Oryctolagus cuniculus: one gene and its partners. The protein of the gene in region 3 interacts with the protein of the main gene of each other region in a biochemical or structural test. Links are inferred from orthologs where the notes say so. Each region holds a gene or a part of one and is shown on either strand. Other genes may lie near its edges.

Evidence for each region.
Region 1: of the proteins of UBA1 (region 3) and UBE2E3, one has a biochemical effect on the other in vitro, tested with the Homo sapiens proteins (3 studies listed by BioGRID, with this or other methods). The link is inferred for Oryctolagus cuniculus from reciprocal best matches to the Homo sapiens genes UBA1 and UBE2E3.
Region 2: of the proteins of UBA1 (region 3) and UBE2Q2, one has a biochemical effect on the other in vitro, tested with the Homo sapiens proteins (3 studies listed by BioGRID). The link is inferred for Oryctolagus cuniculus from reciprocal best matches to the Homo sapiens genes UBA1 and UBE2Q2.
Region 4: of the proteins of UBA1 (region 3) and UBE2R2, one has a biochemical effect on the other in vitro, tested with the Homo sapiens proteins (5 studies listed by BioGRID, with this or other methods). The link is inferred for Oryctolagus cuniculus from reciprocal best matches to the Homo sapiens genes UBA1 and UBE2R2.
Region 5: of the proteins of UBA1 (region 3) and UBE2L6, one has a biochemical effect on the other in vitro, tested with the Homo sapiens proteins (2 studies listed by BioGRID). The link is inferred for Oryctolagus cuniculus from reciprocal best matches to the Homo sapiens genes UBA1 and UBE2L6.
Region 6: of the proteins of UBA1 (region 3) and UBE2D4, one has a biochemical effect on the other in vitro, tested with the Homo sapiens proteins (4 studies listed by BioGRID). The link is inferred for Oryctolagus cuniculus from reciprocal best matches to the Homo sapiens genes UBA1 and UBE2D4.
Region 7: of the proteins of UBA1 (region 3) and UBE2Z, one has a biochemical effect on the other in vitro, tested with the Homo sapiens proteins (3 studies listed by BioGRID). The link is inferred for Oryctolagus cuniculus from reciprocal best matches to the Homo sapiens genes UBA1 and UBE2Z.

What each region holds. Positions count from the first base shown.
Region 1 is NC_091434.1:59,872,588-59,876,230, forward strand, and holds part of UBE2E3 (ubiquitin-conjugating enzyme E2 E3), read right to left. Parts: intron 3,328-3,643; coding exon 3,195-3,327; intron 1-3,194. UniProt on the Homo sapiens protein: Accepts ubiquitin from the E1 complex and catalyzes its covalent attachment to other proteins. In vitro catalyzes 'Lys-11'- and 'Lys-48'-, as well as 'Lys-63'-linked polyubiquitination.
Region 2 is NC_091443.1:106,476,346-106,480,706, reverse strand, and holds the start of UBE2Q2 (ubiquitin-conjugating enzyme E2 Q2), read right to left. Parts: upstream 2,835-4,361; 5' UTR 2,631-2,834; coding exon 2,466-2,630; intron 2,307-2,465; exon of another isoform or gene 1,997-2,306; intron 1,991-1,996; exon of another isoform or gene 1-1,990.
Region 3 is NC_091453.1:32,724,507-32,728,909, reverse strand, and holds the start of UBA1 (ubiquitin-like modifier-activating enzyme 1), read right to left. Parts: upstream 2,849-4,403; 5' UTR 2,667-2,848; exon of another isoform or gene 1,247-2,666; intron 164-1,246; exon of another isoform or gene 1-163. UniProt on the Homo sapiens protein: Catalyzes the first step in ubiquitin conjugation to mark cellular proteins for degradation through the ubiquitin-proteasome system.
Region 4 is NC_091432.1:196,852,903-196,857,260, reverse strand, and holds the start of UBE2R2 (ubiquitin-conjugating enzyme E2 R2), read right to left. Parts: upstream 2,896-4,358; 5' UTR 2,320-2,895; coding exon 2,143-2,319; intron 1-2,142. UniProt on the Homo sapiens protein: E2 ubiquitin-conjugating enzyme that accepts ubiquitin from an E1 ubiquitin-activating protein, and catalyzes its covalent attachment to other proteins by an E3 ubiquitin-protein ligase complex.
Region 5 is NC_091432.1:14,577,897-14,581,481, reverse strand, and holds the end of UBE2L6 (ubiquitin/ISG15-conjugating enzyme E2 L6), read right to left. Parts: coding exon 3,414-3,585; intron 1,662-3,413; coding exon 1,510-1,661; 3' UTR 527-1,509; downstream 1-526. UniProt on the Homo sapiens protein: Catalyzes the covalent attachment of ubiquitin or ISG15 to other proteins. Functions in the E6/E6-AP-induced ubiquitination of p53/TP53. Promotes ubiquitination and subsequent proteasomal degradation of FLT3.
Region 6 is NC_091447.1:51,544,552-51,548,194, reverse strand, and holds part of UBE2D4 (ubiquitin-conjugating enzyme E2 D4), read right to left. Parts: intron 2,664-3,643; coding exon 2,570-2,663; exon of another isoform or gene 2,261-2,569; intron 175-2,260; coding exon 129-174; 3' UTR 1-128. UniProt on the Homo sapiens protein: Accepts ubiquitin from the E1 complex and catalyzes its covalent attachment to other proteins. In vitro able to promote polyubiquitination using all 7 ubiquitin Lys residues, but may prefer 'Lys-11' and 'Lys-48'-linked polyubiquitination.
Region 7 is NC_091448.1:25,120,845-25,125,255, reverse strand, and holds the start of UBE2Z (ubiquitin-conjugating enzyme E2 Z), read right to left. Parts: upstream 2,809-4,411; 5' UTR 2,702-2,808; coding exon 2,379-2,701; intron 380-2,378; coding exon 307-379; intron 1-306. UniProt on the Homo sapiens protein: Catalyzes the covalent attachment of ubiquitin to other proteins. Specific substrate for UBA6, not charged with ubiquitin by UBE1. May be involved in apoptosis regulation.

The DNA of each region.
Region 1 (3,643 bases), on a different chromosome or scaffold from region 3:
AAAGAAAATACTAAAATTTCTCAGACGTATCTTTCTGAAAAGGGGGCAGTAGTTGAAAGGTGAGGACGGAAAGACAGGAATAGCTTACTGGTTCAGTGTGGGAAGAGGCGGAGCCTCTAGAACTGCTCTGTCCAATACAAAACCAACTAACTACATATGTGTGAATACACAACTTTTGAACTGGGGCTACCCAAAGCATCAAAGTATAAAATCAGATTTCAAAAACTTGGTGGCAAAAAGATGATGTAAAAGGCATCAGAAATAATACTGTACTTATGTGAAAATGACAGTGTTTTGGTACTTGGCTAACCAAAACAAATTATTATTAATTTTAGGGGTACTTGTTTGACCTAGCAGTAAAAATACCACTGAAGAAACCTGCATCCAGTATTTAAGTGCCTGGTTTAGTGTCCTGGCTCCATTTTAGGTTCTAGCTTTCTGATGTCGTGTACCCTGGAAGGCAGTAGGGGGCGGCTGATGTGGGTGGGTCCCTGCCATCCGCAGGGGACATTGAGTTCCCAGGTCCTAACTTCAGCTTGGCCCACACCTAGTTGTGAGCATTTGGGAGAGGGAGCCAACATATGGGAACTTGTTCTCTTATCTCTCAAAGTAAGTAAATAAAAATATAAGTTTATGGTCTCTTTTTCCATTTTTAACTGTGCCTACCTGAACATTTAAACTTCTATCTATAGTCTCTATTATAATTCTATTAGTGCTGCTCTATAAAATGAGGAATAATGTATATTCAGGTTATTGACACTCAATAGAGACACAGTGGTTTACAAATAAAATTAATATTTTGAAAATGTTCAGCTCTTAATAACTAGAGAACAAAAATACTATTCATGAACAGAAGAGAATTACATATTTATCATTCAACAAGTTCAACTTTTAACTTCAAAAAACAGGAACTAAACAGAAATAATTGTTCCAACAAGTTAATAGCAGAAACTTCGTTTGTTTCAAATGTCCAACATTTTTTTAGAACTTAGTGATGCCTAATTCTACATAAGTTATCTTAGCAAGAGGAGTAAACAGAAATTAAAGAATTAGAAAATTAAATTATAATTTCAAAAATTAATAAGCTGAATTTGAAAAGAACTGCATTAATCAAAATGATAAATCACACACAGAACAACTGTTTGAAACCCATGTTAGTCAACCCATTTTCCATTAAGTTGATAGGACAAATGTTAACAGTGTTATAATTCTGTATAAAATAAATCTTGCTTTTTTCCCCTAGTTTTGCTAACATGTTTAAAGCAATTCTAATATGGAACACTAGGCAGAGTTATCACTACTTATAAATACAGTTATAAGGTATTTCTAAAATTTCATTTGTTTTCCTGTAATACAGAGTACTTTTAGCATTATACTAACATTTAAAGGTGTTAATCAAATTAGGGTTTCGCCCTTTTAATTGATTCAGCAAGATGGATTCTATAGACCTGGAAACAGTAAAAAATATATTAACTTCAAGATCTTAGATTCTTTTTTTTTTTTTTGACAGGCAGAGTGGACAGTGAGAGAGAGACAGAGAGAGAGAAAGGTCTTCCTTTGCCGCTGGTTCACCCTCCAATGGCCGCCGCTGCAGCCGGCGCACTGCGCTGATCCTGGCAGGAGCCAGGAGCCAGGTGCTTTTCCTGGTCTCCCATGGGGTGCAGGGCCCAAGCACCTGGGCCATCCTCCACTGCACTCCCTGGCCATAGCAGAGAGCTGGCCTGGAAGAGGGGCAACCGGGACAGAATCCGGCGCCCCAACCGGGACTAGAACCCGGTTTGCCGGCGCCGCAAGGTGGAGGATTAGCCTATTGAGCCACGGCGCCGGCTGAGATCTTAGATTCTGATGGAACACATAGAAAAACACTCCAAAAATAATCTGGTAACTGTAACTGACAGTAAATATTTGTAGGGGATCCAGACCTTGGCATCTGCAACTTGAGGTAAATACCACTAGGTGGCACTGTTGTTACCTTATTATATAATGCTTTCCTGAGACAGAATCTTTCTTAAATCTTTACGTAATATTTATTATATATATTACACACACATGCATCAAGTTGCTACATAAATTGTAATTTTAAAAGATTTTATTTATTTGGAAGACAGAGACACACACACATAGGCAGAGTGATTTTCAATCTGCTAGTTCACTCCCTAAATATCCACAATAGCTGGGGCTTGCCCAATCTTATCCCAGGAGTCTGGAAATCAATCCAGATCTCCAACACGGGTAGCAGGGACCCAAGTACTTGGGCCATCATCTTCTGTTTCTGAGGGTGTACATTAGCAAGAAAGTTGAAAGTGGAGCTGAGACAAACCCAGCCACTCCAAAATGCGATGTGGGCGTACCACGCAGCATCTTTACAACTGTGTCAAATGCTTCCCCCTCTACATAAACCTTAAATAGTATAGGGCATAAGAGGAATAATGTAGCAGCTAAGGGCTATAGGCTTGCTAACACACTTTTCCCCCTGGCATGTTGAACGTCTCTGGAATAAAAGTACAATTGTGTTCTGATTTCGTTCTGGCATTTTTTTTTTTTTTTATATAGCTTGACAGGTAAAAGGAAGGAAGCCATTCACATGAGTGTCTTGTTTAAGTTTTGTAAACTAATTATGTTACGTTTAAGTCTGGTAAACTGACAGTTATGACAAGGCACAACTTAATGCTTCTCTTTGTTAGCCATGTAATTCATATTTCAAGTGAATGAAGCACTAACAGGCAGAAACCACCCCCGGTCATCCTCCACTTCCAGTACAAGGTCATACCCACGCAGCCACATTACTAGTTTCCTGTGTATCTGTTGTAGTTTCCCAGGTTTTTGCTTATCTATGAAGGATTTCGCATAAAACTCACACTAAACTCTCATTTCTGCAAACTGTCAGTTTTTTGTCCCAGTATGTTTCTTAGAGAAGGTTCACCGAATATTTTCCCTCAGAAGTTCAAAATGTATCTGCCTCACTGATATGCAAAGTATAGTTTTATTTACAATTAACAATTCACCTTCCTTCTGTTGATCACAAAATTATTTGTAAGACTCAATTACTTTCAGTTTTAAAATTCTTTCATGTGAGATTCCACATAAATTCATGAAAAATAATGAAATAAAATGCAACCAGAATACAAGCAAGTCCTAGAATTAATGATTTCAGAGAAGAATGAATATTAAAGAATATACTTATATGTTCTTACCTTTGGTGGTTTAAATGGATAATCTGATGAAAATGTGATATCCAGAAAAAACACACCACCTTCATATACAGAACCTGGTGGACCAAGTATAGTTGATCTCCACTCATAAATGTTATCTCCTTTAGGCCCAGCACTATTTAAAAGAAATTAAAAATCAATATATACATCTGCAAATATACATGCTAACATCTTAAAACCAGTAAAGTATTAAAGGTAAATTGGTAAGAGCAACAAAGAATGAGATTAAGTATTAAAAAAAAAAAAAGCAATAAGCCCTAATGTGCTCAGGCATATGTATAAAAACCTATTTTAAAATATCTCAAACTTACAGAAAAATTACAACAAAAGTACAAAGAACACTTTACCCACAATCTCCTTCTGTTAGCGTGAGGCCCCATTTGCTCCTCTCTCTTCAGAACACACACGCACACGCACATACACACACAGAC
Region 2 (4,361 bases), on a different chromosome or scaffold from region 3:
GAGGGACAATCAGACCTGGCAGACAGACCCAGGTACAGTAAGGGGCAGCTGTCACGGGCATGTTTCAAAGGGAAAACCAGATCAGACAGAAGCCTGAAAGAAAAAGGCGCACACAGGCACGCGTGTGCATGAAGACCCCACTGGGGCAGGCACTGCGGCACAGCGGACCAAGCTGCCACCCGGGATGCCCACGTCCCACATCAGGGCGCCAGTCCAGTCTGCACTGCTCGGCTCCCAACCCTCTTTCCTGCTAATGCGCCTGGCAAAGGCCTGGATGAAGCACCTGGCTCCCGGCTTTGGTCTGGCCCAGACTCGGCTGTTGCGGCCATTTGGGGAGGGAACCAATGGATGGAAGGAAGCTCTCTTCCCCACCGCCTCCTCTCTCCCCCCTCCCTCCTCCTCCTCTGTCCCTTTCTCACACTCTGCCTTTCAAATAAACAAGTAAATGAACAAATAAGTCTTCTGGGAAAAAGAAAGCTACTGGTGTGATCGTATCTGCTCAAACATCACGAAAACTGCACAGGAACACTTCTTGGTAAGCGTGGAGAAGACAAGGCCTGACAGGCAGATGAGCTTAATCAACAGCTAGGCCGCCTGAGGAGCAAAAGTTAAACACATCAAATGCTTTAATAATAATAATTTTTTTAGAAAATAACAAATCACAAACCCCACGGACAGATCCTGGTATGTGAAATCCAGATGCATTTTTTTCCTTGCTCTTTCCATTCTAAGCAAATAGTTTAACATGAACAAACCACACAGATTTTATCAAAATAGTCACTCATCTTCAAAGAGTCTTTTTTTTTTTAGAAATAAATACTGAAATTACTTGAACAGGAAGTGGTATGTCTGGAATCTGCTCCAGAAGAATCCGAAGTGGGGTACAGACGACATTAAGATTGGCCAGAAATGCACCCTTGTTGGAGCCGGCCCCTCGAGTTTCTCTTCACTTTCAGTTCCCTGTGTCTGACGCCCTCCCATGATGAAGGGTCAGCACACACTGGGCATGCACCATGACAACCCCCTCCCAACTCACCTGCACCTCAATGCTAACAGTCCCCAGCTAGCCGGACCACCACCCCGGTCCCCCCCAGCGCATCTTCCACTGAGTGTCTACTGCACTCCTTGCCGCTACTGAATCCGGGTCATCGCTCACTGCCTTGGCCTGTGGCGGACTTTCAGGACCATCAGCCCCCCACCCGGTTCTCAGCCGAGGTGGGAGGGCTCTGTTGTGGCACACCGCCCCATCCCGGTACCCCTGGCGCTGCGGACCGGCACAGCGGCACCGCCCCACCCCCCCCCCCCCACACACACACAGCCCTCCTAGTGCCAGCCACTGCTTGTCCAGCTGGCCTGAGTCACTCGGCGGCCGTCCTGGCCGTGGAACCAGCCCTGCCTGGCCAGAGCAGTCTCCCCGGGTTAGCACCCACTTCACCCGCACGACTACTTCCGGCTTCCCCTGTTTAGACAACTTGGCCTTGCACAGCCTACACCGGGGGGCACACACTGTCCACTCCCAAGCGACCCACACTTGCCCGAGCTCTGGAGTCCTTTTATTGGGGGGTGGGGTGGGGTGTGCAGCTCCGGGACGCGCCCAAAGCCACCACGGCCAGCCGGAGCGCTCCTCGCCCAGGCGCACCTGAGCGGCCCCGGGGCTTCCCCGGACACCCCCACACACCTCCACCCACGCACCGTGGCTGCCCCTCTTCTCCCCACAAGGCTGGGGGCTGCCCTGCCCGGTGCTGGAAGCCCAGCTCCCAGCGCGGCCCGAGGCGCCGCGAACCAGAGCCGCCCCCCGCCCAGGTGTACCTGTTTATTTCTCTTCTAGAACCGCCGCCCGACCACCGCCAGCCCCATCACCCCACCTGCGAGGCCGCCCGCCCACTCCCGGCCACTTCCCCACGGGCAGCGCCGAGAGGGGACCCGACACCACCCCGGGGCGTCCAGCCCGGGTCCCCCCCGGCTCGGCCGCCGCACCCCCGGGGAGGAGATTTACCGGCTCCTCGGCGTCGGGGGTCCTTCCGGTCAGCGCCTCGGCGGCGCAGCGGCCAGGCCCGGCCGGCCCACCACCTGCCGCCGCTCCGAGCCCCTCTCGCGACCCCGTCCTCCACGCACAAACTTACACACACAGCCGGAAATCCGGCCCCGGAATGCTCCGGTTAAAAACTTCAAGGCCTTTTTTTTTTTTCTTTCTTTCCCCTTTTCCCCGTCTGGGCTCAAACGCGCGGCCGGAGCCGAGCCGACGCCAACGGCAGGCAGGCAAGCAGGCAGGCAGGCGGCCATGGCGCCCGGCGAGGACTCGGGCGGGCGCGGCGACGGGGGCCGCGAGGGGCCAAGAGCCTCAGGGCAGCGCCGCGCGCCCGGCCGCGCCCCGCGCCCCGCGCCCGGGAGCCGGCGGCCTTTGTGCGAGGTCTGGGGCGCCCGTGGCCGCCCTCGCCCTCGCCGGCCCCGCGCGGCCGCCTCACCGTGATGTTGCAGTGCAGCGTGAGCAGCGGCGGCGCCGGCGGCGGCACCAGGAACTGGCAGTGCAGCTCGTCCAGCTTCCAGCTGACGATGCGGAACCGCTCGTGGTTCTTGTCGAAGATGGACGCCAGGAACTTCAGCTCGGCCTTCAGCCCTGACACGGACATCTTCCCCTCATCTCCGGCGGGAGGGGTTGCGGAAGGGGAGCCGGGCCCCGAGCCGCCGTCACGGCCGCGACCGCCCCGCGGGGCCGGCCCGGGCCGTGCTCTCGCGGCTCCGCCTCTCCCCGCCGCCGCGACACCCGCGTCCGAGCGCGGCAGGAAAATGGCGAGGGGGGCGCCGAGGCCTCGGCGGGCGGCCGCTCCCTTTGTAACCGACTCCACCACCGGCAGGAGGCGGCGGCCCCGCGGCTTAAAAGGGCAGCGGCGACGCCGCCCCCGCCACCGCCTGGAAAAGGGCGCCCCCCACCCCGCCCTCGTTCCCCTCCCCGCCCCGCGCGTGCACGTGGCCGGTGCGCGCGCCCGCCCGCCCGCCCCCTCCTCGCCACGACCCAGCCCCCACCCCGGCCCGTCCCATCTGCTCGGCTCCTCGCGCCGGCGGACGGGAGGCTGGGGGCCAGCCGGCTCCCGGGCCCCGAACCCGAGGAGAGGCCGGAGACCCCCCGCGCGCGCCCCCGCCCCCAGGCCTGGGGCCAGACACGTGCGCGGCCGCTCCCGCCGGCCACGTCGGCGCCGCCGCGGACGCGCGCCGGCCTCTGGGGGCGGCCGCCGGTGCACCTGACAGCGGGCCGGGGCACCCCCGCGGCCCACGCCCCAGTCCGGCCGCCGCTTCTCCAGGCGGGGACCCTCCTTTGCGATCCGGGCATCCGTGCAGCCAGGACGGCTTGGCCCCTGCCGGCCACTCCTGGGCTCCCTGCCCCACCTGAGTACCGTCTCTCCCTCTTCCCGCCTTTGGCCTCTTTGCCGGACTTGAGCTAGCCCTCGCGGCTTCCCACGTAGGCCCCTGTTTTCATGAAAGGTCTTGGATGTCAGGGAGCGCCCCCCTGACCACCTGACCTGTGAAGTGGCCTCTCAGCCCCCCTGTGTCACGCCCTATGCTAGCTCTTCTGCTCGGCACCTGTCGTTATTTTGATACCTTCTTCCTCTTAGTTCGCTCTCCGCCCAGTGGGACTGTCTTCTTATTAAGAGTTGTCTCCCCAGGACCCGTTAGGTAGTTTGGGAAGCCCACCCTTAATCTGGAATCCTCAGCGTCGAACCCAGTCCCTGGCACACGCAAGGTAGCCCCGAAATGAAGTTGGGCAGGCTGTTAGGGTAACACCTGTGTAGTCACACGGGGCTCCCTGCCTGGTTAACTTGCTACTGTCACCATCTTGAAATTCGTAATTGTTTCAACCAGAGGCCCGGCACGCCTCCTGTTTATGGTCTACAAGAAATGAAGTCCCCTGACCGAGGACTATTTTACCTTTTATTTCGGAGGCATTATAACCTGTTGTAGCGCTTCCTAGCCATCGGAGGGTCGCAGGTCTCTTTGAGAAGCTGATAAAACCTGTGACCCACCTTCCCAGGAAACCGCCTCTGCATGTAACATTGTGTACCTACGGCTCTGGCTGGAAGCACTAAGGGTCACTGGGACAGGGAAAAGGAGGAGATTCAAGTCCTGGGTTCTGAGCGAGAAAGAACTGGCTTCCACATTGGCATTGCTGCCACTTCATTTTTCCTCCAGTCCCCCCGGGCTCCTGGGACCCTACCAGACACAGCAGCCACAGACAAGGATTTGAGACAGAGGGAAGTGGCTCCTTTAGAACTTGGTATGACTTTGAGAAATAAAATGCTTTAAAAAGTTCTTTATCTAAACTTTTTTGTTATCGCCAAATTGCTGTGAGATCCAAAAGAGCTTTC
Region 3 (4,403 bases):
AGAATCGCCGCCGCCGCCGCTGCCTCCTCCCCCGGCCGTTGTGGTTGTGGTCGTCCCTGCTACCTCCTTCACCTCACCCGCCGACACAAGATGGCGGCCACGAAGCCCAGGGCCGGAACAAAACCTTGGGTCCCACCCCCAGAAACCCGGATGCAAGAACGCCGCGCCCGTTCATGAATCATGTATAATCTTCCCTGGCAGGTTGTTACTCATTCGTTTAGAAGAGGAACGGCTCCACCTGGTGGCTACGGCAGCAATAACTAGGAAAACAGGTAAAACAGAGGCCACGCCCCATGGAACGCGAAGGACTGAATTGCTGCCACCACGCTGCAACAGAAACCAAGAAAGGCCCTCAAGGCCATGCTTTCTGATCACAAGTCGTAACTGCAGCCGAGTAGATGGTAGACTAACACCCAGAAGCCAGAAAGCCGACGTTACAACATGGAAGTCACACCCCCACTGCTCATGAATAATGAATGATCTTGCAGCAGCCCGGAAGCCAAGGAGACCAAAGCTACAGCTTAATCATGAATAATGCATGAGGCCCAGTGGGCTGGAACAAAAGGGGCGGGCCCGCCTATTGCTGCATCTAAATTGGGCTACCGCAGGGAGCACCTACTCCCTCTGCTCCTGAATAATGAATACTGCTACTGCAGCAGCTCAACCTGGAGACTGAGAGGTCAAGAAAGGTCCCACCCACTTCATGAATTATGCATGAGACTAGGCGGACAGAAACACTCGAGACAGCGCCAACCAGCAAATAGGGATTAAGATACTATAGTCAGGGCAACATGGCCACGCCTTCCCGTTCGCGAGCAATAGAAGACACCACAGAGCCACAGGGAAAACCCAGGGGGAGTGTAGCCTCAACACTCCCCGACTAACTGCTCAGGAACCAGGGCTGCCTTAGTCCAACCAAATCCAGACTCACAGGTCTTTGGCAGGTGCCTCAGTTTCCAGAGTCTTAAGATGGGGACAGTAGCAGAACGCATGCACCTCATAGAGATAAAATGAGCTATTACGGAAAGCAGCGACCGTGAATTACAGAACGAACCTTAGAACAGTGCTGGCTTGAGGCACTGTTGCGTTTTAAAATATAGATATATTAATATAAAGCTAAGAGGCAAATATTTATTCCTGTTAGCATAAAATTAGTTATGTGTAAGTATATACACCCAGCCAGTAGAGAAATTCTCAACTTGGGCTATTGTTTATCTATAAGATGGGAATTACAGCGGTAACTTACCTTGAGATGGATGTTTAAATCAGTTAATGTGTAGAAAGGACTCAAAACGGTGCTTGACACATAGTTAAGTGGTATAGGACTAGCATTAGGAGGAGCGCTCTTATATAGGGCGGGGGACGCATTATGACGCTGCGTTGCCAAGACTACGGACGTTAGACGTAGACTTCTCCTCGGGTTTGAATTGTGGCTTAGCCACTCACTGCCCGTGTAACATTAAGACAAATTAGTATCACTGTGCCCCAGTTTTCTCATCTATGAAGTGGGCTAATAATAACCTACCTCCTAGGATTGTTGTGAAGATTAACTAGGCTAATAAAGTAGCTAAATGAGTGGAAGCGAATCATTATCCTCATACCTTTTTTAGGTTCACAGAAAGATTTGCCAAACATCACACCACTGGCAAGGACTGATTTGAATTCAGAGCCTCCGCTGGTAATATGCGATGGCTGCCCCATAAAAAATGTCCAGTGCACGAAGCCTCATCCCTTCGCTAGAGGCAAGGCTTAAACCCTGGAACCTATAAGGGAAAGCTAACCACGGAACAGGCAGAAGAGGCGGGTGGAAGCCACGCCCCTTGTGAATTATGCACAATACCCCTAGAAAAGCCACAGAAAACTCCGGGCGCTACTTACTCACCTCTGTGAATGATCAGTAAACTCTAGCTTGGGCGGCAAAATCAGAACACCCTTTCAGCACTCCCTTTCGGCACCCTGATCCGCCGCTTCGTGAACAATTCACAGCCCAGACCTCCAGGGGACACCAGGTGCGAAGAAGGCAATCAGCTTCCCACCACAGCCCCTCCTCCTCATGAATAATGAATGAAGCCGCAGCCAAAGAAGGCCCGGTGGCATTACGTCCGCTCAGGAGAAGCCTGGCAGACAGTTCCTTTCCCAGCCTGAGCTGGAGGGGGTCCTCTCCCGGGGTCTGGGCCCCTGGTGTGTCCAGGCTCACCGTCCCGAGGAGCCAAGCTCAAGGACTTCAACAGAGACCCAGAAGTCACAAAGACCACAGACACCCCCACAATGCCACGTTGGTCCTGAACCCGTCCCGAAACAAGCAAACCCTGCCCAAATCCCGCCTTGACTTAAGTAACCTCAAACTTCCACTCTCCCCTTGCGGAAGAGCCCGTATGCTGCCCACAGATAGGGCACCCATGCACGGACCCAAACACCTCCCCCCAGCCTCTACCTGCGTAAACCAGCGTCCGAGGGGGTACTTCCAAAACAGACTCCCTAATCCCGCCCCAGAGTTCCCAAACGCCATCTCGGAAGGGTCTCCTCAGAAGCAGACACCTCTAAATACCATCCCGGGCCCAGAGGCTCCAAATACACCCATTAGGGGACCCCCGAAGTTGGGGTTTAGGGGAGCACCCTTCTCCAAATGCTGTCCAGGGGCTTGGGGGCATGGTGCTCCAGCTCACCCCCTACGCCGGGCGGAAGCCTCGCCTTCCTGCTGGAGATGAGCCGAAGCCACGGGGCAACGGAAGAGAAAACCACCTCCGGTGTACTAGAGAGCCAGAGTTTGCGCGGAGCTCGGAAGCGCGGGGCCTTAGAGGGCCCCGGGCCTGGGATGTACCACCGACGCATTGCTAGAGGGGCGAGCGCGCGTGCTCCCGTGCCGCCGGCTCAAGTTTCAGTTCCAGATACCCCTACAGCTTGTGGTACAGCCCCAGTGCGCGAGGCATGCTGGGGTTGGTAGTCCCCTCTGGCTAGTGCTTGGTGCACGTGGTGGGCATCAGCGCCCCGACTATGAGAAAATTTAAGCCTGGGCTGTGGAATTCCTGGATCCCTGCTCTGAGGCGATGGGAAGAGGGAATGGAACGTAGAGGTGCCCCCAGATGGAAAGACACACCCATCCTGCAGATGGAAAGGTTGAGGCTTAGGTGACCAACGAAGTTTGTTCATGTGACATTTATGGCTGTGGGCCAGGTGCTGGCTCGTCTTCCTTGCCGTTATGCAGCGGACATTCCAGCGTGAGAGATAGACTATAAACGTATCAAATAAGTAAAAATTATGGTCCCACATTTAAGTATATTATAATGATATCTATGGCTATATGACATAAATTATATGTGATAAAGCATACATATAACGACTACATCCTATATAACATGATAGGTGCAAGGTGTCCAGCGCGTAACAAATCTTCCCAGGCAGACGCACCCGGGCGAGGTTCCAAGGCCCCAACAGAGCAACAGAGCGGGGGGCGGGGAAGTCGCACGTCAGAGATTGGGAGAGCTCCTTTTATAGATTCAGGGCATACGGGTTAAAGGTTGAGGCGGGTCTGATCCTCATTGGTTGACCTTTAGGCACCCGCAGGGACCTTGACAAGGACTTTTCTTCCCCGCAGGTACAGGCAGGGACTTCTCCATTCCCGGAAGTATAGGCCTTCCTCCTTGCAGATCCCAAAGCTACCGATAGGTACTGTTGATGGTGAATAATTTACATATTTGTGTATAATAAATGTCACTAAATATCGAAATGTGTTTATTGTATGAGTATATAAAGTTGTATATAGTTGTGCATCACTTAACAATGGGGATCCGTCATTTTTAACATTATGTATGTATATATGTATTTGAAAGGCAGAATAATTGAGAGAGAGGCAGAGACACAAGGAGTGATCCACCTGGTTCATTCTCCAAACGCCTGCCCCTGGGACTCCATCCGGGTCTCCCACTTGGGTGGAGACCCAAGCACGTGGGCCATCAGCTGCTGCCTTCCCAGGCGCATCAGCAGGGAGCTGGATCAGAAGCCAAGCAGCCTGGCTGCAAACCAGCACTTGGATATGGGATGTAGCCGCACAGTGCCCACAATATACCTATCACGTGTTCCTGTGCTGAATTGTATCATGATGAGTAATTGTAATGCAATGGTAGGATTTTTCTATCTAAGCAGGGACATCTGGCTGAACCTGGGGTTGGTATGCCCACATGTTATATGGGAGCGCCTGGAGAATGGAGTTTAGGGGGAAAAGTGGATGCCAGAAACCCAGCAGAAAGGCTCCTGCAAGATTCCAGGAAGTGATGATGGAGGTTCAGATCAAGGTGATGAAAGTAGTTAAGGAGGGATTGAATTCTGGGTTGGTTCTGAAGATAAAGATGCCAGGGTTTGCCGAGGGCAGACCAGGGTGTAGAAAAGAGGAGTCCTGGCTGACC
Region 4 (4,358 bases), on a different chromosome or scaffold from region 3:
CTTTTTCCAACAAATGACTAATGGGATAAAAGGCCATTCAATGAAGGAAAAAGTAGAATCTAAGTGAATAAACTCACCATGATCAAAACATAAAACCTGTTTAAGAATTTTCATATTTTTTTGAGAATTAAAAGTAAAAACATTCAAAAATTAAGAAATCTAGCATAACAAAACAGACATTAAAGCATTCTTTTTAAACAGGACTGAAATTAAAAAGCATTTGGTTTTAATGAGTGTAAACGACAAAGAATCTTTCCACACTACCTATTCCAAATGGAGAGGATTTTCCACACTCCTTCCCCAGTTACTGATGCAAAAGTATTATAGTTTGCAGTACATGATCTTTCATTTGCAATCTTTAACAAACTGCCTGGGAGTAAGGCCAGTCTAACAAGTACCCACTTACCAGGCCCAAAAAATTACTTTTTGGAAATTAAACTTTACTCCACTACCACTAGCCAGATTTTGCTAATACTTTACTAGAAAAGTTTTCATATAAATTCCACCCTGTGAAACTAATTTTTCCAGTATCTGTAAACAAAAACTTATATTTGACAACATAGACAAGCAATATCGTTTCCAATTCGCCACTAGTAACTTGCACCTTTTCTCAGCAATTTTAAAAATCTACATCTGAAAAGTATACTGTTTGTGGCCCACGGGGAAAAAAAAAAAAAACCAAAGCCATCGGTTTGGCTTCATAATATTCTCAACATGTGCTTTTCAGTGACTATCACAGCTGTGAATATTAAACATTTCCATATCAATCCTATTTTCTACAAAGTTGACCTAATTTCAAGTCTGAAATTGAGGCTTCCACCTTTAGAAGCATAGAAAACAAGAGTTAAGTAATTGGGTAGTCCTAAAAATACACATCACAACTACATGACTAAGATACTCATTTAAAACTTGTGCCAAGATAACCCCTCCCTTCAAAACAAACTAAAATTGACTCAATGGCCTATTTTTTTGTGTGTGGAAATAAAAATATTAAATGCATTCCTAAACACTATTTCCTCTGTATCTGCCCCCACCATTTATAACAATGAAATCTTCAATCTGTGATTCTTGTCTTTAAAAATGCTAACGTAAAAACAAAAGCAAAAACTCAAGTTATATCTGCCTTGGGGGTCAAAAGAAAAAAACAAAATCACGAGATTCCGGAATAATAACCACTGTCCTAAAATCATGGAAAACAATAGAAACAATGTCTCTGGTCGCTAAGGAGCCATCCCACCCAGTGAAATCGCCTCATCTCTCATGATACTTTTCATCTGGGCGACAACCCCATTTGCTAGTTAACCAGCCACCTGAGCAAAAGGTTTCAATTTTTGTCTCCCCAAAGTGGGAAAAGACCAGTCGCCCTACAAGACATGTTGCACCTTCTGTGGATATTTCTACACGGGGGGCAGGGGAGCCTGGGTGAGGACAAAGGGCATTTTTGAAAGAACCATTGACCGAGGTAAATAGAGAACGAGAACAGAAAGAGGGCTAAATTAAAGTTCCCTCAAGTGGATAATGGCCCCCCCCCAAAAAAAATCCCGCAGGCACCCCCCCCTCCGTCTTTTTTTCTTTCTTTTTAACCACCCCTAGGGTCCCATTCTTCAATATCGCCACTGGAACGCAAAGTTGCAACCACCACAGCCCAACAAACGCTCAAAATGTCAGGGCACTGGCAGCCTCTGGAATGACAGGCTAGTGCCCCTCCCCCACCCCCACCCCCCAAAAAAGAAAAGTCCAATCCAGTAGGTGCAGGTCACCCTGCCCTCTGGGGCAGTTCCAGCTGCGCCAGGGAGGGTTGTGATGGGAGGACGGGAGGGGAAGGCAGCCCCCCTCTCCTGCCATCACCCCCTCGGCTGGGGAGCAAACAAAGACAGGCCTCCTCCTCCTCCCGGAGCCACGACCCTAGTCCGAGAGGCTTCCCTCTCTCCCGGTGCAGTCTGGCCTCCCGCACCCGCCCCCATGACAAAGAAAAGGCACTGGGTGAGCAAGGCCTTCCAGCCTCCACGGATGGGGGAGGGGGTGTCGAGGCGAGGAGCCCCCTCACTCAGCCGTGCCCACTCTCCTGGCCCCCGAAAACAGCCGAGGGCGGTGGGGAGCCGAGGCCGCGGCCCGCGCGGCCAGGTCGGGGGATGGGAGTACCTTGAAGTAGCCGCCTTCGTAGAGGGTGTTGGGGGGTCCGAAGATGGCCACCTCCCAGTTGTAGAGGTCGGACTCATCCACCAGGGTGATCCGGAAGCCCTCCACCGGTTCCTCCTGCAGGGATTTGAGCTCCAGCATCAGGGCCTTCTGCGAGCTGGTCATCTGCTGCTGGGCCATCGCGGCGGCGGCCGTGCGGGCCGGGGCCCCAGTCCTCACGCACCGGCCGGGCCGGACCAGGCCCCTCCCCTGCGCTCGCCCTCGAGCCGGGCCGCCCCGGGCCCCTGTCTTCACACCGCCGGCGGGCCGGACCAGGCCCCAGTCGGCCCGCGGGCCCGCCCGGGATCCTCCTCACACACGACGCGGGCCGGGCCGGGCCCTTCTCCTCACTCCGGCCGGGTGGGGGCAGGGGCAGAGGGAGTTCGGGGAATTCGCTCCCGGTGCCGGGCCTCCCCCCCCCGGAGGGGGCCTCAACTTGGGGGGGGGGAGAGAAGGTGGAAGCCGAGGAAGGTGGCGGAGGGCCGGCGATGGTAAGGGGAGGGGGCCGCGACGGCCCGGGAGCGCCGCGCTCGCTCGCCCTCTCGTTCTCCTCGGGGGCCGCCGGGGCCGGAGGGCGCGCGGGGCCAGAGGGGGCGGGGGGAGCGCGGCGCGCGGGGGTCTCGCGGCTGCGGCGGCGGCGGCGGCGGCTGCGCGGGGGGAGGGGCGGAGGAGGAGGCGAAGAGCGAGAGCGCCGCGCGCCGCGGGAGCGACGGAGCCGAGAAGGAGGGAGGGAGAGAGGGAGGAGGGGCGCGCGCCGGGAGGGGGGCGGCTCTCGGCGGCTGGCGGCCCGACGCGCGTGCGCGCGCCCCTCCCTCCCCCGCCCGCCTCGCCCTCCTCCTCCTCCTCCTCCTCCTCCTCCTCTCCCGCTTCCCCGCCTCCTCCCGGCTGGCCCGCGCGGTGGCGGCGCTTTGTGACGCCGGCGTGTGTCCTCCGCCCTTAAAGGCCCGAGCGGCAGTGAGGGCCGAGGGCGGGCCGCGGCGGATCCCCTGGGCCCGACGTGACTGTTGTGCACCGCGACGCTGCGGATCCAAAGGCGTGTCCCGGAAGAGGGCTCACGTTCTGGGGCCCTCAGGGCTCGACCCCGAAGGCCGGGGTAGCGGAGCCCGGGTCCTCTGTAGGCTCATCTCTGCCCCCTCGCAGTCCCTCCTGTTAACCAGGCCCTTGATTAGGAAGCACCGAGGATTTGGGCCTTATCGGTGAGAACAGGCCTCTTGACGACGTCTGTCTTGGCGATTCCAGCCCTCATTCATGCCAGTGTGTTCTTGGCCAGGTCACCACCTTGGGGAGAGGCAGTTTCCCATTCGAGAGGTGGGGGAAGGCCGATAGGCGTGCCCCTACTTCCCTTAACTGCAAAGAGGAAGTTATGAGAGAAATAACACGGACCGAAACTGGGTTCCTGGCCCTTCTCCGTGTGATGTGGGGCCAGTGCTCTGGCCAGCCCTCAGCTCACCCATTTGTAAAAAAAAAAAATAATAATACCGTGGTTGGACTTTGACCCCTTCTAAGTGCCCTCAGCTTTTTGTCCAGTCTGGAATTGAGGGACTTTTGAGAGAATCTGGACTGAAGAGACATGTCACTTCATAGTGAGAGGCAGCCCCCATGATGTTAGAATACCTTACGGTTTGCGAGACTCTTACTGCCTAAACTGTTCCCTAGAGAAGTTGGGACCCCGTGAGGGTGCCACACAATTTGGGATCAGAAAGACCTTGGTTCCAGCTCTGACCCTAACTTTAATATTCTCTCTTCCTGCTTCATCAGCCTCTGTAAAAGGGAGTTAATTACACCTAACACAAGCAATTGTAATGATTAAATGAATCATTATGTACACTATTTAGTATAGTGACTGACTCAAGGTAAATGGCCCATAAACAAGAACTTGAAAGGAAGAACTTTAAAGGCACAGCTGTGTTCTGGATGCCATTCTTCGTTTTTGAAACAGACTACTTTTTTTTTTTTTTAAGATTAATTTTTCTTGAAAGAGTTACACAGTGTAGGAGAGGTAGAGAGAGAGAGGTCTTCCATCTGCTGGTTCACTCCCCAATTGGCCGTAACGGCTGGAGCTGTGCTGACTTGAAGCCAGGAGCTTCTTCCAGGTCTCTCACACGGGTGCAGGGGCCCAAGGACTTGGGTCATCCTCCACTGCTTTTCAAGGCCACAGCAGAGAGTTGGATCGGAAGTGG
Region 5 (3,585 bases), on a different chromosome or scaffold from region 3:
AAAAAAAACACAGCAAAAACCCCAGCCAGGATGCGTGGCTGCAGGAGGCGTGGAGTCCATCCTAACTGGCAATACGGACCCAAGGGATCCACCGAAGGGCCGCTCCGTGCCTTGGCTGCCTCATCTCTAAAACGGTGGATACCCCTGGGAACCTTTTCACAAAACCTATTTACTTTCGTGTCATGTGAAAGGCAGAGACAGCAAGACACCACGAGACAGATGGAGAGCGATGTTCCGGCCGGGGGTTCACTTCCCAAATGCCGGCAATTCAGGAAGCTGAGTGGATCAGAAGCAGAACACCTGGGACTTGAACACAGACGTCCCCAGCAGTGACTCAAACGCGGTGCCACACGGCCGCCCCCCAGCCCCTGGACTCCGGAGGACCTCTGCTGGGGGTCAGCGTCCGGGAAGCAGGGCGACGGGTTTGTGGGGCAGCAGCAGCCGGGGCAGCCCCCTCTCTGGTATGGATGAAACCACCCCACCCCTCACTGGAGACACAACCCCAGAATTCACCTGTGACATAGAAAACATTTCTATTTAAAGTTTAATTTCTGTTAGAGAGAGAGAGAGAGCACTCCCATCCACTGGTTCAATCTCCGACACTGGGCGGGGGTTAAGGGTGGGGAATCAGGAACTGGGAACTCAATCCAGGTCCCCCAGGAGGGTGGCAGAGATCCAATCACTTGAGCCTTCCCCCACTGCCTCCCACAGTGCCCACGAACAGGAAGCTGGAGTCGAGAGCAGAGCTGGGATTCAAGCCCAGGCACTCCAGTATGGGACGTGGCCATCCCAACCAGGGTCTTGACCACTAGGCCAACTGCCTGCCCCATCTGTGACGTCACTGGCCAGGCAAGCACTGGGCTCTGTAGATTCTGCTGGACCGGGTGCTGGCCACAGCCTTACCGTCCCCAGGAACTGGCCACCTGGCAGGATAGCAGGAAATGTCAAAATACACAGTCAGACTCCCCGGATGGAGGTCAGACTCCTCGTTTTAGGATTCAACAGTGGAAAATGGAAAATGAATGGTTTAGCACCTAAATCGGTGCATGGCGCTCAGTAGCTTGGCTGGTTTCAACCACTCCACTGAAATATGAAATACAGTGCCCTCCACGAGCCCGGCTTCCCATCCATACTCCCTGCTCCCTGGGGCCCTGGACCCTGGAGGGATCCTGGTTTCCAGCAGGCTGACTTAGAATGTGACCTGTCTCTCTCTCCCTGGAGATTTAACCTGTTCACTCTGCAAACTTAAACCCCCTTGGCTGTGGGGAAGGCTCAGGGAGTGGGCAGGGCACACCTGTGGCCAGGTGAACCTGGGGGCAGCGAGGCCTCACACCACACACACATCCACAGCCTCCCTCCTGCCACACACACATACACAAACTCATGGCTAGCAACCTAAGAAGGAAAAACTGAGTGGGGAGTGGTTCATCCAGGGGCTCCAGCCCCAGTCCGTGAGGTATATTGGTCCACCATGCAGAGGATCCCACGCAGATGGGGTCAAAACCCAATTTAGGAGGGCCGGTCCACTCCGAACTGGAGGGTGAACTCTTCTGCCTTCCTCTGGAACAGCTCCGGGTTCTGGGTCAGCAGGTCAGCCAGCTCTACCCGCACGGGCTCCGCCAGATCCGGTCTATTCACCAAATTGTAGAGGGCCTCCAAGACTGTGGAGAGAGGCCAGAGCGGGACATCAGGGCAGAGGGAAAAACCCTGGATAGAGGCACTGGCTGTCCACTCCCCGGATCCCCCCACTCACTGCTCAGGGGGACCCCCAAGGACAGTCCATCTCTTAGACTGCCTCCCCTTCCTGGTGGACGATGCCCAAAGCTTTGCCGGGTGAGATCAGTGTTTTACAAACAGCTATGTCCTATGGCTTCAGAAAAGTTACACATTCTGGGGTCACTGAGATAAGAGAGATTTTGGGGTTTCAGCCCCATTTCGACAAGACCCATCCTGGTTTTCTGTTGTTATTCTGGGATTCCAAATAAATTTATCTGGGAAAAAAAGGTTCTAAGGCTGAAGATGGAAAACCTATTGCTATGGCACTTAATCTTTTCCAGATGCCCTTGGGAGCCCCGTGCAGGTGGAAGCCCAAGTACACATGTGTACGCACATAAACACAGCTCTGAGTGAACAGTGCGTCACCACAGAGCCCTGAGGCTCATCCTAGGACCTCTCCCACATCCCAGCCCCACCACCACCACGCCAAGAGTCTTGTTTCCCAGGTTAAGAATTCCCGAGCTGGACCAGACACACGACAGCACCCAGAGGAAGCCCATGGGTTCTGGAGCTCCATTGTTCAATGTGGAGCTCCATGTAGTTTTCTAAATTAACTAAAATTAAACAACATGAACAAGGTGGGAGCTGTGGCTCAGCAGGTTAACGCCCTGGCCTGAAGCGCTGGCATCCCATATGGGCACCAGTTCAAGACCTGGCTGCTCCACTTCCAATCCAGCTCTCTGCTATGGCCTGGGAAAACAGTAGAAGACGGCCCAAGTCTTTGAGCCCCTGCACCTGCAGAGGAGACCCGGAAGAAGCTCCTGGCTCCTGGCTTCAGATCAGCACAGCTCCAGCCATTGCGGCCAACTGGGGAGTAGACCATCGGATGGAAGACCTCTCTCTCTCCCTCTCTCTGCCTCTCCTCACTCTGTGTAACTCTGACTTTCAAATAAAAATAAATAAACCTTTAAAAAAATATCTTGCCCCCTATATGGGCCACAGCTTTCCTAAAACAAACAAAAACAAAAACAACAACAAAAAACATCATGAAGAATTCTGTTTCTTGGTTGCACAGCCACATGAGGCCCGGGATGATGGTACCAGACAGTGGGGCTGTGGAAATTTCCATGGCCGCACCAAGTTCAGCTGGACAACACTGCTCTAGAGTCAGCCAAGCTCTGCCATCTGCAAGCCACAGGACCTTAGGCAGCGGCTTCACCACTCATGTGCCTCTGGCTCTATTACATGGGGCTAATGACAGCACTACCTCCTGGGGGTGATGCGGGCAGGCTCACAGTGCTCTTTGCACAGTGCACTGACAGCGCTTAGTTAAGGGATGAATACTGTCACAGTTAGGACAATCCCCTCCACTGTCAACTGTCACTTAGGGTGCTGAGTCCCACAGAGGAATAGAGTCTTGCCCTAAGTCCACACATGGGGCAGCAGGCCTTCTTAGTCCCAAGCCCTGCCCCCTGCATTCACGCTGCCTCTCTTTCCCATGTCCATGGTCAAGTTCCTCTGTCACACCTGCCCAGGAGCATCCAGGATCTCAGGAGGCACCCCTTCTCTCTAACGGTAGGTTCCACGGAGACTCACATTTTATCTCCTCTCTTTCAGGCTTGTCTAACTCAAAATAAGTCCACTAACTTCCTCCACCCAGTAACAGTGTCGCCCTCAGGGGTAAGGCCCAGCCCCACCTTGGTAGGCCTTGGTGTAAGGCTTCCAGTTCTCTTTGCTGATGATGGGCAGGCAGACCTGCCCGTTTTCATCCACATTGGGGTGGTAGATCTTGGTGGTGAACGTCACCGCGGGAGGCTTGAGTGGATACTCCTTGGGGAAGTTGATGCGCAGACTGAAGGCCTTGCGATG
Region 6 (3,643 bases), on a different chromosome or scaffold from region 3:
GGCGGGTGACCAGCGTTTGAAGAACACATGACGCGCTCCGTGGCCCAGCCCACAGCACAGTCTCACGAGAGACCCCTCTGGCCAGCTTCTCCTGGGCAGTATCTCCCACAAGACCTTGTCCAAGACACTTACAGAGCGTATTTCTGTGTCCACTCTCTTGCTAGTCTGTTGTACCTGGAAGAAAAAGCAGAGGGAGTGACACCCCACTTGGAACGGTCACCTCCTCTCAGCGTGGGGCGGAGAGCAGGAGTGTGCGGGGGGCGCTGGGTTAAGCAGCCAGGGCTGCGGGCAGGCAGCTGCCTCTGAGTCCTGGTGGTTCTCGGAAGAGACTGGCTATGGAAGATCGCCTAAGGCAGCAGAGCGCCGCCCATGCTCTCCGCTGTCACAGTGTGCGCGCAGGGAGAAGAGGGGGAGACATTCACAGCCCCTCCGGGAAGAGCTCCAGGCAGCCACTCCACAAGCCCACAGCACAGGCGTGGGCGGCTGGGGCGGGGCCGCCTCTGCGCCCTGGCCTCCCTGGACGTCTGCCCGGGGTGGTAGCGGGGAAGACTAGGCGAGTGCGCGCGCGAGACCTGCGCGGCAGGCCTGGCACCAGGGAGCACCGTGCGTCATTACTGCTGTGAGATCTGTGCAGACTCCGGTTAGAGAACAAGGGAAGTCACTTGATGGGGGCCAGCACTGTGGTTCACGGGGTAGAGCTGCCGCCTGCAGTGCCAGCATTCCCCGTGGGCGCTGGTTCGTGTCCTGCTGCTCCACTTCCAGTCCAGCTCCCTGCTGATGGCCTGCTGATGGTGCACGTGTCTGGGCCCCTGCCACCCACACGGGGGACCTGGCTGGAGCTCCTGGTCCTGGCTTCGGGCTGGCTCGGCCCTAGCTGTTGTAGCCATTTGGGAGTGAGCCACGGATGAAGCATCTCTCTCTGGATGTCCCTCTCTCTAATTCTTTCAAATAAATAAATAAATCTTAAAAAAAAAAAAAGAAGAAGAATATGCCCCTTGGGTCACCCACATCCCACACTGGCGTGTCTGGGTTCAAGTCCTGTCTCAGCGTCCCGCCACGTGTACTGTGGGAGGCAGCAAATGATGGCTCAAACGCCCGGGGCCCTGCCACCCACGTGGCTGCTGGCTTTGGCCTGGCCCAGCCCCTGCTGTTGTGAATGAAGGAGCGAGATGTTTCCATCTGCTTCTGTCTCTCTGTAATTCTGCCTTTCAAATAAATATTTTAAAAAGTCCTAATGTTAAATAAGTTAATTAAGTTACATGTTAAATAAGTACAATTTAAAATCTAGTCATTGAAAATTATTTTATCAGGAAACTTCAGTGGAAATCAGATCTATAAAGGTCTCAAACATACAAGTTGGAAAAACGACATTCTCATCTCTTCAGACAGAAGAGGAGTGATGAACTAAAAGCTCACTGAAAATACTCTTAAAATTTACCTATTCATTTGAAAGGCAGAGTTGCAGAGGGAGAGAAGAGGTCTTCCATCCACTGGTTCACTCTCCAAATGGCCACAACGACTGGGGCTGGGCCAGGTGGAAGCCAGGGCTGGGGGTTTCTTCCAGGTCTCCCACGGGGGTGGGATTTGGGCCACCCTCCATTGCTTTCCTAGGCCATTAATGGGGGCTGGATCAGAAAGGAGCTTCGGGACTGAACCAGCGCCCACATGGGAGCTGCAGTCGCAGGCAGTTTTACCGGCTACGCCACACCAGCCCCGGGAGAGAAACATTTTATTCACTGGTTCATTCCCCAAATGTTCGCGAAGCCAGAGCTGGGCCAGCCCACAGCCAGGAGCCCAGCCCTCCACTCAGGTCCCCCACTGTGGTGACGGTGGCCCTTCACTGGAGCCCCCGTCTCCTGCCTCCAGAGTGCACCAGCAGGAAGCTGGACCGGCAGGGCCGATGGGACTCAACCAGCACTGTGCAGCACCCAGCACCCTTCCCCAGCGACACACTGGCAGGGCCCCCAGCCACACTGCCCTTCCTCACTGCCGTCGGCACTCAGATGAACGCCGACCCCCGGCCTGCTCCGCCCACCACAGCTGCCCCATTCCGCAGCACACGTGGCTGTGGCTGTGGCTGTGGCTGTGGCTGTGGCTGTGCCTGGCCGAGGGCGCTGCACTTCTACAGTTCCACGCGTGGCCGTCAGTGTTAAACACAGCAGGCGGTCTCAGGGTCCGTGAAACAGAGCACAACACTCGGCTCGCAGCCGGCCAGCTGGCCACGGCAGTGTCTCCCGCCTGCCCTGCCGCTCGGCCTCACCTGGTGTGTCCGAGCAGCCCCCCGCTGTCTTACGCTAGACTTCAGCATTTACTCCAGGTTTTCTTCTGCGTGCACTCTCGGCTGGCCACTGACCGCCGGCCCTGAGACCAGAGCTCGGCAACGGGCTACCGTGTAGAAGCGGCAGCGGATGCGCTGTGCAGGAGGTGAGGAGCCGGCTGCTCGTCTCCTCCCTTGGAGCCAGAGGATGTGTTAGTGAGAGCCAGGAGCCCACGCCCCGGGAGCCGCAGCGTGGCGCCCGGTGCTGCCCGGGGCAGCGGCAGCACAAAGGCAACCCGAGAGGACGCGTACTTCTCTCTGTCGGCCTTGTAGGTGTGGGCTATCTCCGGCACCAGTGGGTCATCGGGATTGGGGTCGCAGAGCAAGGAGCAGATGGACAAGAGAACTGGGGAGAGAAGAAAGGGTCCGTCAGCTGCAGGTGCGCCTGGGTCTGGGAGGCCCCGGGCCGGCTGCGCGGGTGACGGGTGGCTGCCGGGGCTTCAGCAGCCCCACTGGACGACTCTGCGGGGCACCCAGGGCCCGTGACAGAAGGCACTTTGCCCACACGGAGGGCAGCTGTCACGTCCCAGTGTCCCAGCACACTGCTCCGGGGGGCTCCCCCCTCGTGCCGCCGGTCCTCACCCCCCTTCCCAATGGCGCCCTCCTGGTCCCAGCCCAATGCTCCCACTCTTGTCTGCCCCACACCACACCCCCTGGCATCTGGTCCCAGCCACGCTGCGCCTGAGAAGGAAACAGGGGGTCAGAGCAAGGGGAAGCTGCCTTGGAACGCCTGGGCGGCCCCTCCCCGGCACCCTGCTCCCAGGCTGCACCGGCAGCAGCTGCTCAGCGGGCTTGGGGACTGCTTCACAAGGGTGAGCCCTGTGGACACCGCCCGCCCCCGCAGGGACCTGCTGTGTCCCGCAGTCCCACGGCTGCCGCCTCAACCGCCTTCCGACGCCGCCCTCGTCGGCTGCCCGAGGCTGCAGCGCTGCACGCCCCCTCCACCTGCCGCTTGTTTCTTGGGGCGACTTCTTCCGCGGGACGGACGGTGCTGTCTGCATTCGGGGCTCGCCCCACTCAGCCCTGGCTGCTCTGGTTTCTCTGCTGACGTGGAGGCCCTGGGCCAGGCCTTGGACCTCTTCCCTCAGACTGGATTTCTCAGAGAGGTGAACCGAAGGCCAGGTGACATCTGGCTTTCTTATTTTTAGACAGGAAGTCCAAGTAGAATCAATTCTGCCTACACCAGGCCACACTGGGAGCCCCTCATGGCACCGACTGCTAGAACTGCTGGGTGGGCCCGGCGTGTGGGCACGGGGGTGGCTGGCACTGAGTGGTCAGGGAAAGCCACTGCTCTGAGCCTGCTCGTCTGCCCAGCCAGCACACACA
Region 7 (4,411 bases), on a different chromosome or scaffold from region 3:
GGTGACCAGGTAACTTCACCCAGCCTGGCGCACTCCGACACTCAGAAAGCGTCCTAACAGCTAAGCTGAACAACGCGCATCGGCTGGGATTTTTCCAGCCACTCACTACCTATCAGCACTGTAACAGACACCTGCTGAAGGCTCTGCTCCACTTCACTGTGTGACCCTGGCTGAGCCACTCACTCCCCTAGGGTCTCCACTTCTTCACCTGCCTAATCAGAGAGGCGAGCTGAATAATCTTTTATACTCTTCCAACTTTATGGGCCAATTTCCCGAAGCCCCCTGGCTCCCCATCAAGTTACATACCTTGGTCATGTCAACAGTATCGGGTACGACGAACATTCCCGGAGGAGGCTCCTTATAAATGGACATGATATCCCTGGTAACACCAAGAGGAGGCGGGGAAAGAGTGAGGGGAGGGGAAGGGGAATCCCTTGAGCGGGACAATTGTTATCGCCTCAGTGAGGCCAGGGTTTGAGAAAGTGGCGCTTGGTACCACAAATGTTTGCACTGTCTTGTTGGCTGAGATCCTCAGCTGAGTACTTATCAGGCAGGCAGAGAGCAAATTATCATCAAAGGGACATTGTTTCATCAGGGGGAGGGCAGGGAAAGGAAAGAAAAAAAAATATCAGAGATCCCAATGTTATCAGATGTCACCCTGGAAAAGCCACATCCCATTTACTCTCACTTCCTCCCACATGGCGACTCACCCACTTCCCACCTCCGAGGTTCCCAGGTACTACGGCAGACACCACACGAGGATTTTTTAAAGAAACTCTGAAGGCACAATCAACTCCACTAAAAAACCGAATTCCATAACCCATGCAACCTCTCATGTGCAGAAGATGACATGAAACAAGTGAGCTGGCGAGGAGCAACCCCATCACGGCGGTCTTCCAGCTCAGGGGACTAACAGAGCGGCAGCTTCTCTGGGTGGGGGGAGGGGGACCCTCTGAAACCGCTCACCCTCTCCTATCTAGAGGAACATGTGATTACTGCAGATGAGAGGATGTCAGGGTCACGGCTCACCAACTGGATTGGGCTAGCTGAGAGCAGGGGGCTAAAGGACATTCCAGGTAGGGAAAAGGCCAGGGACCTGCTAGGGGAGGCAGGAGTGTAAAAAGTACAAACGGTGGCAGAGCAAGGAAGGAAGTCTTAGGCCGAACTCAACAGTATGTCAGGATCAGAAGACTGACAGGAGCAAGGGAGTATACAAGAGTTGAGGTTCAAGTTTAAGTTGGGGGCAGCAAAGCCCAGAGAGTTGGTATCCTGTGTCAGGCACTGTGCCAGGTGCTTTACGCACACTGTCCTGCTGAACTTCTATCACAACCTTGAAAAGCAAGTAGAGAGACAGATGAAGGAACTCGGAACCTGGGGCTGCACCTGGAGGAGGAGGAGGAAGAGGAGGAGGAGGAGGAAGAGGAGGAGGAGGAGGATCGTGACGGGAGTGTGGGCAGCAGTCTGGTCATCTGGAAACAGATTTCAGGATTCACGGCAGCTACACAGTACTACTCTCTTCCTTATGTGATGGGTACCAGGCTATGCACTTCTGCGAAACATTTTATCTATGAAGTGATATTATCTCAAATCAGTCACCCAAGAAATAAGCACAGAAAGGACTTAGGCCTTTGTTCCTGTAATTAAGCTGAATATATTTGCTTGAGAAAAGTAAATCAAACAATCCAGGTGTGTGGGTGAGGAAAACCCGTAAGAAAGAAGGTCCTGAGTGGGATCTTACAATCCAGAGAGACCCGGGGGTGGGCGGGGGAGGCGTGCCTGAGTGTCCTGAGCAGGTGTGAGACTGGAAAAGGGGTTCGAGGGAAGATCTGGGTGAGCCAGGGAACCCACCTAGACCTGGGAAAGTACTAACTAGGAGGCGGCTGGAGATGCAGAGATAAAGGGAAGGAATGGCTGGAATCTAAGGCACGGTAAAGCCAGCTAGGTTATGTGTTAGAAACTGGGCTCCCGAGCGCACAAGAGGGACCCAGGGGTGGGGCCTGTGGGCAGCATCTAGTCGGGCCGGGGTGGGGAAGCGGGAGGGGGTGTCACTGAAGCGCCAAAGGGTCGGGTTTCGGGCGGGAGGCAGGGGGTGGGGTGGGGGTGGGGGAGGGTGTCCGGCTCCGAGATGCGGGGCTCGGGGGAGGCTGCCGAGGGGCGGGGTCCGACCTGGGCACACGAGGAGGGGATAGGTGCTTGGGGGGCCGGAGGAGAAGAGACTTGGACCCCGACGCTCCCTGCGGGCAAGACTTGGGCTTTGGAGCCTGGCCGCCTCGAGGCAAGCGCAGCGGGCTGGGGGTGAGTTGTAGTGGGAAGGGGTGGGGGGCGGGGAAGGTCGCGCCCCGGAGCTCGGGGCTGGAGGAGGAAACACCCCAGCTCACCGCTTGATCCGGAGTAGACACTGCGGCGCGGTTCGCTCGCCGTCCCAGTCAGAGCTGAGCGTGGGGTCCCAGTGGCTAAGCAGCGCGGCCCCGTGGGCAGCGGCCGAGGGCGGGAGCCCCGGCAGCGGAGCCAGGCCGCTCCCCGGCCCCCCGGCCCCGCCCGCCGCCGCCGCCGCCGCCCACACATCCGGCAGGAAAGGCGGCCCGAACCCGCCGCCGCCGCCGCTAACGCCAACAACGCCAGCGACGCCGCTCGCCCCGGGGCCCGCCGCCCCGGCGCCTGCCGTCGCCGTCGCCGCCTCTTCAGTCGGACTCTCCGCCATCGCTGCTTCGCTTCCGGGACTGCTCGGCAGCACGTCCGCCGACCAGAGCGGCCGCTGCTCCCGCCCGCTCTCGCACCACCGAGAGCCGGGCCAGAGTGTCCCCACCCTCCGCTTCCACAGCCCGGGCGGCGCTGGCTCCGCCCACCCCCGCCCCGACCAGCGAGAGGCGCTCTGCAAGAGCGTCCACCCACGGTCCTCCAGGGCCGGGCGGGGGCGGGTTGGGGGGGGCACTAGCGGGCCGAGCCGAGGGTTCTGGGCCCGCGGTGGCCGTTCTCCGTGCGGGAGCGACGGAGAGCCCGACTGCGTGGAAAATGTTATTTTCAGATGCTGAAACGGGGAAAGAAAGTTTAAAGAAGCGGCGGAGTGGGCTTAAACTCCTTGTTTACCGAGAGGGTGGCGGAGACGTGCGTCTGGGACGGGACTGGACGTAGGGCTCGCCGCGGAAGAGGTGACCGCCTGCGGGCCCTTCGCGGGCGCGAGGCTCCGTGGCCGAGCCTGGCGCCCGGCACCGTCATGCGCCCAGAAAGAGGAAGGAGTCGGGACTGCACGCGAGAAGCGGCCTCTCTTGTTTGAGCGTTGGTCTGAAGGCCCCGCCGAGGGCCAGGCGCTGCCCTGGGGATCGAGCAAGAACTCGAAGGAAGAAAGAGCAGGCCTCCCGACTTTTCCTGCCCGCAAATCCTTAAACATACAAGAACCCAGGGAATGCGTATAAATCCTAAGAGGATTCCTTAGGACTTTTCTGAGATCTTTCAAGTGAAAAGTAATCCTAAGGACTAAGAAAAACAGAGGCCTTCCAAGAAAAACTTTGCTTCTCCCTAGCAAAAATTACAGGCTGATGACCATCACCCAGAAAGCAGTAGGGCCAGACGCGTTTCCGATTGGAGAGCCAGGGCACGGGTAGCCGCCAGCAACCAAACATAGTGATGTTTCTTCAGAAAAGTGTATGAATAGCCCTACTAATTTGGGCACGTTACGAACATTGATGCCAAGGAGGGGAGCGTCACTTTGGATTATACTTGCTGCCAGAGGTGTGTTTTAAAACAGGCGTTTGGGTTCCAGAGGTCTGGATTTCCAGTAGTGGACCGTGGCCCTGAATGAGGATGAAACAGCTAAAAAGTTACTTCCCTGACGTTTCTTGAGTGCTTCTATATCCTGGTACTTTATTATTATTATTTTTTAAAGATTTGCTTATTTGTGTGTGAGAGAAAGAGGTGTTCCATTCGTTCGTTCACTCGCCAAATGGCCGCAATGGCTGGAATTGAGCCCATCAGGAGCCAGGAGCTTCTTCCGGGTCTCCCACCCGGGGAACAGGGGCCCAAGGACTTGGGCCATCTTCTACTGCTTTCCCAGGCCACAGCAGAGAGCTGGATCAGAAGTGGAGCAGCCTGGACAGGAATCAGCGTCCCTATGGGATGCTGGTGCCGCAGGTGGAGGCCTGATCCACCAGGCCACAGTGCCAGCCTGTACTTTATATCCTTTCAACAACCCATGAAGTAAGAACCATTATCAGAAATTGTTCTGACACCCACACAGGGTCATGGTGGGCGGAGCTGAGGCTGTAAAGCAGCCAACCGCTGTGTGACACTGACACCACTGGAACCACACTTCCTTTGTTTTACCTCATGCTAAGGAAGTTCCTGTCGTACCTGTGCCCCACCCTGCCCCCTGTAACACACACACACACACCCACACACCCTTGGGGCTATAGAC